2 linked regions of the Coturnix japonica genome follow. The protein of the gene in region 2 purifies or fractionates together with the protein of the main gene of each other region. This does not show direct contact. Links are inferred from orthologs where the notes say so. Each region holds a gene or a part of one and is shown on either strand. Other genes may lie near its edges.

Region 1 (4,333 bases), on a different chromosome or scaffold from region 2:
CGCAAAAACCTCCCTCAGTCCTTAACTCAAAGGAAGAGTCATCATGCAGTAACCAGATTTCTCTGCCACCCTTTTCTCCTGAATCACTGCCTCCTCTTGAGTTTATTCTTCCAATCCTAAGACCAGTGTTAGTGTAACCTCATTTGGCAATCAGCTGACTACAGATATGAGGGACAGGCAGAGAAACACATGTCCTTTAGGGAGTACAGTCCACTGCTCCCACATCCTTTAACATATTCCCAGGCATCAGACTGAAAACTTGCCTGCATTATCAGGTAACCACTTTGGAGTGCCTTTTCCCCCTTAGAGACCATATGCAAGTTCTTTTAAAGGTTTACTTTCCAACAGTCACTCCAAGGCTGTTCCAGAATCTGACAGCTGTGGACTGGGATAAGAGCCTGGTTTTGTTCTCTGTGAGGCAAAATTCACAGTATAACCCCACAGAGACTGGTACTGCTGTGACTCAGCACAGCAACACATAGGATGATTTCTGCAAAATGATTTGCCCCCCCCCCCCCCCCTTCCATTCTGCTGCTACTGTGCCCAACAGATTTTTACCACCAAACAATGAAAAATAAGGGAGTGATTTCATAGGTAAGACACTGCCCCAGGACTGTGAAGCGATTTCAAGAGAAATCCCAAGTGGAAGATTAATCTAGAACCTGGCCACTGTGGCAGCTCTGATCACATCACTGCCTTCAGTTCCCAGAGAAGGCAGATACTGATTGCCCAGCACTTCCCTTTCCCTCCCATAGTTTTTTAAGTAGCAGCGTTCCCTTCCAGGGAATTTCTGGTGTCCTCCAAAACTCACTGGGTTTCCTTTCCTCCCTGAGCTTCTCCAGTCTCTCTGCAATAGCTCTATCTTCTTTGGAGAGCCCTCGGTATCTGGAGTCATCTTGACTGAGTGGTTTTGCATCTGCTTTCTGTTGTCCTTTCAGATGCTTTTGCTTAGCCTCAAACGCTGCTACGCGCCTGTGACAGGGATGGAAAAAGACAACTGAAAACAGAGGTTTAAATCTTGAGATTTGAAAACATCCTCTATGAGCACAAGCTATTTGAAGGACATCAGCATAGAAAAGAAGCCTCTCATTCCTGTACCAGGCTCTCCCATACCAGCACAATGAAGCACTACTATGAATAAGGAAAACCATAACTCTCAGGTGAAGCAGCCGTGACATTTCTGAGGAGACAAGGAACATTTCACCAGCAGACTTATTTCCAAGCCAACCACAATCAGTCAAAGATTAACACAGACAGGCTGTTGTTTGTGAGCGTATTCAGAATTAGTGTCTCCTTCCACCCTCCAAAACAACCACCAAAAAAAAAACAAAAAAAACCAAACAAACAAACAAAAAAAAAAACCAATAAAAAAAAAACCAAAAAGCCCACAAAGCAAAAAGCCCATCCTTAATCCAATATTGAACAAGCAAACATCCACATCACAACCTCCTTCTTTTGCTGGACTCTATGAGGACACAGGGGTTAAGAGCTGAAGGTCTGAAAGGTTACCCTACAGCGGAAACAGGTGGCTGATCAGCAAGTGTAACTCACTTTTTGTAGTTTTCTGGTGGTGACCATTTTGCTGAACTGCTTTGAGATTCTTGTCTGAAACATAAAAAACATTGTTATCTCTGAACTCAAGGCTCCAGCAATGCTTCAATCATCTATTCTCTCAGCCCAAGAGGAATCAGAATACGTGTGTATTGATCACCTGGTACAGTTCTTTCATGACCCCATTAATATAGTGATCAGCTTATGAAAGTGACTAAGATGATACAGCTGCTTTAGACAGGAGGTGACTTCATTCCTAGTCCTATGTTCTTGTTGTTTTGCATTTGGACAAAATTTGTTTCATTTACTCTGGACACCAGGAGGAGCTGAAAGACTCTTGGCCTCCCAGAGCCTGCACGCCCCAGTTCAGCAAGCAGAGAGCGCAGTTAGGTAGGACTCCCAAGGTAATTAGCTTCCATACAGTACAGCTCCCTGAAAGGAGCAACAAACACAAAATTATATAATGCAGAAGCTAAATAAAACGTTACAGAAATAATTATGTAATCACCAGTACCGTGACGACATCTTCTAGGGCACTTGAACATCAGTCAATCCTGTGTAACTGTTTTCTGCCTCTCTGTGTTTGTGTCAAGCTGCTGACCTATGCTTACATAAGGTAGTTAGCACACTTTATTCATTCTTAGAAGGCACAGTTACCTGCACTGTGCTAAGGACAGGCAAAGGCAAACAAGGGCAACACCTTCACTGGACTATTTTCAAGGGTTCAACCATTTCTAAGGGTTCAACTGTGGAAGCTGGGTGAGTGCAGAACACCAACTCACGCAGCCTACAAAACCACAGCCAACACACACTATCTACCTGCTATCCACGCAGGGAAGAATTCCTCCTGCTCTAAATCCATAGTACCGATATTAAACAAACAAGGGAAGGAAGAGGCTACCAAACTACCACGCATCTGAAAGATCATCCTTTCAAACGGCAAAAATAATAGCGGGGCTTATTCTGGCCTCTCCTAGCCGGGCCATCACGGTCTACCCACGAACACTGGGAGGAAAAACCAAAGGCAGGATGCAGTCCCGCTGGCACTTACCCGGTGATCTTCCCGTGGCACTGCTTGCACACCTTCTGCGGAGCGCTCCCGCAGCGGGGCACCGTGGCGCTGCAGCTCAGGCAGGCCGAGCAGAAGGAGCGCCCGCAGCTCCTGCAGCCGCACTGCGGGGACACGAAGCGGGCGGATCAGCTCCCGAGCGGCGGAGCGCGGCGCGACCCGCACCGGGCTACAGCGACGGGACGCACCGACGGCCCAGCCCGGCCCCGCCGACCCCTCGGCCGGACTTGCCTCCTTCTTGAAGAGGCTGAACTTGCAGGCACACCCGTAGCAGCGGCCCTCCATGGCCCTCCCAACACCGCCATACCACGCTCCGCAGCGCCGCGTTCAGCCGGCAGGCACCACCCCGCCCCTCCGCGTCTGCGCGCGGCCCGACGGGAGCGGGTACGGGGAGCGTCGTTTGAAACACGGGCGCTGTGACAGAAGCAGCGAACCGTCACCAAACTGGATCTGGAACCTGAGTTTCAGTTTTCGTCCAGGTGAGGAACCAGCTGTACGATCAGCGTGCCAAACTTGCCCTTATTTTCTGCCTTACTCTTGTTTTCTTGGTGCTGTAGCCTCAACTTATGTCAGGGAAATACACTTTAACAACAAAAACAAACCTAGGAGTGGTAGATTTTTGGGGTGTGTTTCTGTAGTGCTTGATTTCAGGCTGCTTTCGTCTCATAGAAGTGACTGGCAAATCTCTGTCCTGGTTTTACAGATTAAGAGAGCATGTTGCTCAAAGGCCCTGACTCACCTCCCAGATAGGAACCCTGACAGTCCCAAGGCAGGTAAGGTTGGGAATCTTGGACACAAACACTCCTCATCTCATTTCCACAAGCTCGTGGAAATGGCTGTTTGAGCACAGACCTGTTGTGTAACAGCTGCTTGTACATACACAGGAATACACCTATACATGTGTAATCGTTACTGCTGTTACTCTGATTTTTAAGATTAAATCCTTACATATTGGTTTTCCAGGCTGTATATAGTATGTGATGATCTCTGATTAGAGCCTCTCAAAATCAGTGCTCACATTTGAATCCTAAACCTGTGACCATGGTGTCCCTGGTGTCTGTTGTCTGGTGAATAGTAATTCATGTATCTCAGAAACTGAATGTTAATAGCAGGCCTCTACCTCATTATTATACATGGGCAATGCCCACTGTGGGCTGATAATTGTCTATTAGATGCACATCCTCTTCTGCTATGCAATTGAGCGTACCTAAAGCTCACAGCAGGTGTCTGAATTGTTTGAGTCCTCCATTTAATATTCACAGCTAATGGCAGGTGAAAATGAACAGTGGTTAGTATAAGAACGTTCTAGATGTTGCGTTTCCCTGTTTGTTGGGCTGCAAATTTATAGCAAAATAACAAATTTAACTGAAGTCTGCAAGCAGGAATTCAAAACACAGCTGGAGAAACATTGAAGCTTTTGATATCTGCAGAAGGGAGTGGGAGATAGTCTGGAACACACGTGGAATCTCCAGCAAACCTGCATGTTCATTAAGGAAAGCAGTTAACAAAGACCCCTAACATGACTGATGAAAGGTGGAAATGTTAGACTTCAAAAAGAAAAGCTCTTCCTATGAAAGAGAGAACTTATGAATAATGTATTTCAGAAAATGCATTCCTAAATGCAGCCTACATCAGTACTGTTGAATTTGTGCTTTCAAAACAAATGAGAGTGGAATTTTTATAGCCAGGCTTTCTGCCCCTTAGGGCTTATGA
Region 2 (4,253 bases):
ACTTCTTCACCTTCAGCAGGTCCTCGGTGTTCACGGTGGGGCGGGTGGTGGCCAGGGAGCACAGCATGTCCGACTGCAATACAGAGCAGGTGGCAGCTCAGATGTGGAGGCTGGGGGGATGGCAGCACGCTGGGGACACACACATCCCTATGGTGATGCCGCTGGGCAGGAGCTGCCCGCAGGGGGGCTCGGGAGGACACCAGCACCCAGCTGCCACGTGCCTGCACTAGGCCCTGAGGCAGGTGGTAGCGCTGGATGAGGCAGGGGAACCAGTAGGGCTGGGGCGGCAGCATTGCTGTGCTGGGGATGGGCCCAAATGCAGCAGCTGAAACTGCGGTTGGCAGCCCCACTCACCATGCAGACGATGGGCTCCATCAGCTTGTCACTGGGAACCTCCATCCAGCTCATCTCGGTGGCACCCACGTCCCCAGGCGAGCACGGCGTCAGGAGGTCATCCACCACAAGGCTGGGGTTGGTGCGGGAGGGGCCGCGGACCTGGTACAAGGCAGGTAGTGCTGTAACAGCCTCAGTGCCCCCCACTCAGCAGCACAGCTCCTGGCTCCCAACTCACCTTCTTGAAGTGCGTCGCTGACTGCACCTTGCGGACAGGCTGCATCAGGGCATCCCGCACAATGATGCTGATGTCAGCCCCTGAGTAGCCATCTGTCTTCCGTGCCAGCTCGTGGATGTCAACCTCTGTCAGAGAGTGGGGGGTGTTGCCCAGGTGCAGTTTGAACATCTGGGCCCGGGCTGCCTCCTCAGGTAGGGGGATGTAAATACGCTTCTCAAACCTGAGTGTGGCACAGGTGGCCATGGGTGAGCGGCTGTGTCCAACAACAGGCTGACCCCACACTGCCAAATCTCACAGCCATATTCAGTGCAGTGCAGTGCTGTGCTTTGGGGCACTGCAGAGGGATCATGTCCTGCTCACCTCCTCCTGATGGCTGAGTCCAGCACCCAGGGGATGTTGGTGGCACCGAGCACCAGGATCCCATCACTGCTGTTGCCCACACCTGTGCAGGGAAACAGCAGGGACTTGAGAGCCATCCCCAAAGGGGATCACTGCTTCACCCACCCCATGTTCCCTACCCAAAGGGTTTGCACGCCCTGGGCAGCTCATGTGGCCAAGGGAAGCCCCACTCACCCTGCATCTGCACCAGGAACTCGGTCTTGATGCGCCGGGCTGCCTCGCTCTCATTCTCATTTCGGGAGCCGCACAGTGAGTCCACCTCATCGATGAAGATGATGGAGGGTTTGTGCTGCCTCGCCAGCTCAAAGAGGTTCTTCACTAGCCTGGGCACAAAGGCAAGGGGTGGGTGCCCCCGCCCAGGACCCCAGGCAAGGACCCACAGCTCCACACTGCCCACCCACTGCAGAAGGGCACGAGCCCTACACACCACAGCTTCCTCCTGCCCTGCCTACCCTGGAGCCCTGTGCTGGCACCAAGGAAGGGAATGTGGTGCGTGGAGAGCAGCCACCCCCTGGGCAGCCATCCCTGGGCCAGCCCACAGCCCTGGTGACACCTTACTTCTCGCTCTCTCCCAGCCACTTTGACAGCAGGTCCGAGGATGACACGGAGAAGAAAGTGGAGTTGTTGGCCTCGGTGGCCACAGCCTTGGCCAAGTAGGACTTCCCAGTACCAGGAGGCCCGAAGAGCAGGATCCCTCGCCAGGGCGTGCGCTTCCCTGCGACAGAGCCCAGCGTCACAGCTTGTCCTGCACTGCACAGACTGGATCTGCACAGGGACCTCGGGACAGAAGGGACGTGCATCCCTTCTGCTCTGGGTCACCTCCCTGCACACACACCTCCAGCACAGCTGCCACCCCCTGTGGGACATGAGGCCCCTCTCCACGGCTGAGCAGCAGCCTTGGAGCTGCCAGTGACTCTCACCAGTAAACAAGTGTGGGAACTTGATGGGCAGGATCACGGCTTCCTTCAGGGCCTCCTTGGCTCCCTCCAGCCCGGCCACGTCGCTCCACCGCACGTTGGGCTTCTCCATCATGATGGCACCTGTGGGGCAGAGACGAGAGCTGCAGCCCACGGCTGTGCCCCACCAAACCCCACGCAGCCAGGCTGACCCCACGGCACAAGGCACAATCCCAGCAGTGCCCCCTTGGCCCCTCACCCATCAGCTGCTCCTGCAGTTTCTTCTTCTCCGGGTTCTCCCCCTCGCTGTCGCTGTCGCTGCTGGACACAGATCACAGGGCTGCGGTCACAGCTCCCGTACCCCGGGCCCTGCCGGATGTTGGCGGCCCCCACTCACCCCTTGGTGTCGTTCTGCGCCTCCTTGACCGGCCTCTTGCCCTGCTTCTCCTTGCTGCGCAGATAGTCCTTCAGCTTCTCGGCCCTGTCCAGGTACTGCTTGCACTTGGCTCTGATGCTCTCCTTGGCCTTGTCGCTGTGCGCCTCATCTACACGGACATTCCGGGCCGTCAGCCCCGTTGCCCCGTTGCCCCGCGCCCCCCCCGTCCCCGCTCACATTTGATGGCGTGCAGGAAGTACTCCACGCCGTGCTGGTACAGCCGCAGCGCCTCCTCGTAGTTCTTGGCCTTGTCCTCCTCGGTGGCTTTGGTCACCAGGTCGATCGCTTTCTAAGGGGGGACGCGGCGCCCTGAGCCCGGCCCGGCCCCGCCCCGCTCGGCCTGTCCGGGCCCACCCATGGCGGCCCGGCGGGGCGGTTGGCGGCCGGTGCCGGTGGGCGGTGCCGGTACCTGCAGGGTGGTCGTTGTCATCTCATCGCCCGGTGGCGGCCGCAGCCGCAGCGACCCGACCCGGCCCGGCGGCGGCGGCGGGGGCCCGCGGGACCGGCCCGACTGCGGCTGTGCGCGGCCGACACGGCGCCCCCTGGCGGCGCCCTCCGGTACTGCAGGGGGCGGGCGGGGCCTACGTTGGACGGCACGCGCATGCGCACAGCGCGCTCCGCGAGTCGGTGTGAGCGTGGCGTGGGTCGGTGCGCGGGGCTGCACCGGGAGCAGCGGGATGTGAACGGCCGAGATCGCGGCTCTGCGCCAACACGGCGCTGTGTGGGCTCACAGTGCACACACACCTCACAGACTGCGGGGGTACATACACATATATGTGTGTGTGTGTGTGTGTGTGTGTGTGTGCGCTACCTGCTGCTCTGCTCACTGTATGCAATGCAGAGCTGCTGTCTGTGCACAGCCCGAACTGCGTGTGCAACGTGTGTGCACACGTACGTATGTATATAGATGGATCCATGTATACAGGTGTGTCCATGTACACACACTGCGGACCATACACAGTGCAACCACAAAACAGCATATAAACAGCACACGTGTGTGTATTCCTGCAGGCATCTATGCAAAGACAGCATGAACAGTGAGTGTGTGTGCAGCATGTGTGTGTGTGTGTGTATGTGTGTGTATGTATGTGTATATGTGCAGCACAGACAGCACCCACAGCAAAAAAACAACCCACATACACACAGCACCCACCACCCACAGGGCCCACAGCCCATGGATCAATCACAGCCCATGGATCAATCACAGCCCATAGATCAATCACAGCCCATGGATCAATAACAGCCCATGGATCAATCACAGCCCATAGATCAATCACAGCCCATGGATCACAGCCCCCCACGGCCGCTCCCCGCAGTGCCGATCACAAACCCCACACATGACCAGTCTGTATAAATAGCGATTTACAAAGAGTACAAAAATAGAAGGGCTGTGCTGGGTGGGGACTCTGCAGCCCAGGCCCTCCCGGCACAGCCCGTGGGAAGCAGAAACGTTTGCAGAGGAGTTGGGCCGGGGCGCAGCGGATCCCCCAGCAGCACCATCCCCTGCCAGGGGCAGAGGTAAAGTACAAAAAGCAAAAGTGCATCGATCTACGTATCCCTCCCCAAAGCCACGAGGCCCAGAGGGGTCCCGCTGTGCCCCCAGCCCAGGAGGGAACAGCGCTCGTTTGCAGACTCTGAGAGCTTGGGGAGCACCCGCCCTGTGATCGCAGCACGGCAGGGACTGAGCCCCCTGCCCATACCGGCACCACAGCGCCAGGTCCCAGAGTGCCCCCAGTGCCCACATTTTTAAGACAAGTCTCCCAGGGGGGACAAATGATGCCCAACATGGTCCCACCTGGGGGAGGAACACGCAGTGAAGCCCCTGGGGGGAGCAGCGGCCCCGCCGCAAGGCACAGGTGGTGAGATCAGAGATGGCTTTTGGGGACGGGGGATAACGCTGAGCTCCCCCTGAGCCACAGAAGAGGAGCCCCCACCCCAAGGCACCGGAGAG

The links.
Region 1: the proteins of VPS4A (region 2) and ZFYVE19 purify together in Homo sapiens (affinity purification with mass spectrometry; 3 studies listed by BioGRID and IntAct, counting the BioPlex papers as one, with this or other methods). This does not show direct contact. The link is inferred for Coturnix japonica from reciprocal best matches to the Homo sapiens genes VPS4A and ZFYVE19.

The regions. Positions count from the first base shown.
Region 1 is NC_029520.1:21,663,272-21,667,604, reverse strand, and holds the start of ZFYVE19 (abscission/NoCut checkpoint regulator), read right to left. Parts: upstream 2,980-4,333; 5' UTR 2,906-2,979; coding exon 2,852-2,905; intron 2,725-2,851; coding exon 2,603-2,724; intron 1,606-2,602; coding exon 1,552-1,605; intron 973-1,551; coding exon 812-972; intron 1-811. UniProt on the Homo sapiens protein: Key regulator of abscission step in cytokinesis: part of the cytokinesis checkpoint, a process required to delay abscission to prevent both premature resolution of intercellular chromosome bridges and accumulation of DNA damage.
Region 2 is NC_029526.1:16,878,278-16,882,530, reverse strand, and holds the start of VPS4A (vacuolar protein sorting-associated protein 4A), read right to left. Parts: upstream 2,845-4,253; 5' UTR 2,733-2,844; coding exon 2,712-2,732; intron 2,592-2,711; coding exon 2,480-2,591; intron 2,412-2,479; coding exon 2,264-2,411; intron 2,188-2,263; coding exon 2,126-2,187; intron 2,011-2,125; coding exon 1,891-2,010; intron 1,686-1,890; coding exon 1,529-1,685; intron 1,294-1,528; coding exon 1,145-1,293; intron 1,014-1,144; coding exon 932-1,013; intron 792-931; coding exon 572-791; intron 496-571; coding exon 355-495; intron 74-354; coding exon 1-73. UniProt on the Homo sapiens protein: Involved in late steps of the endosomal multivesicular bodies (MVB) pathway. Recognizes membrane-associated ESCRT-III assemblies and catalyzes their disassembly, possibly in combination with membrane fission.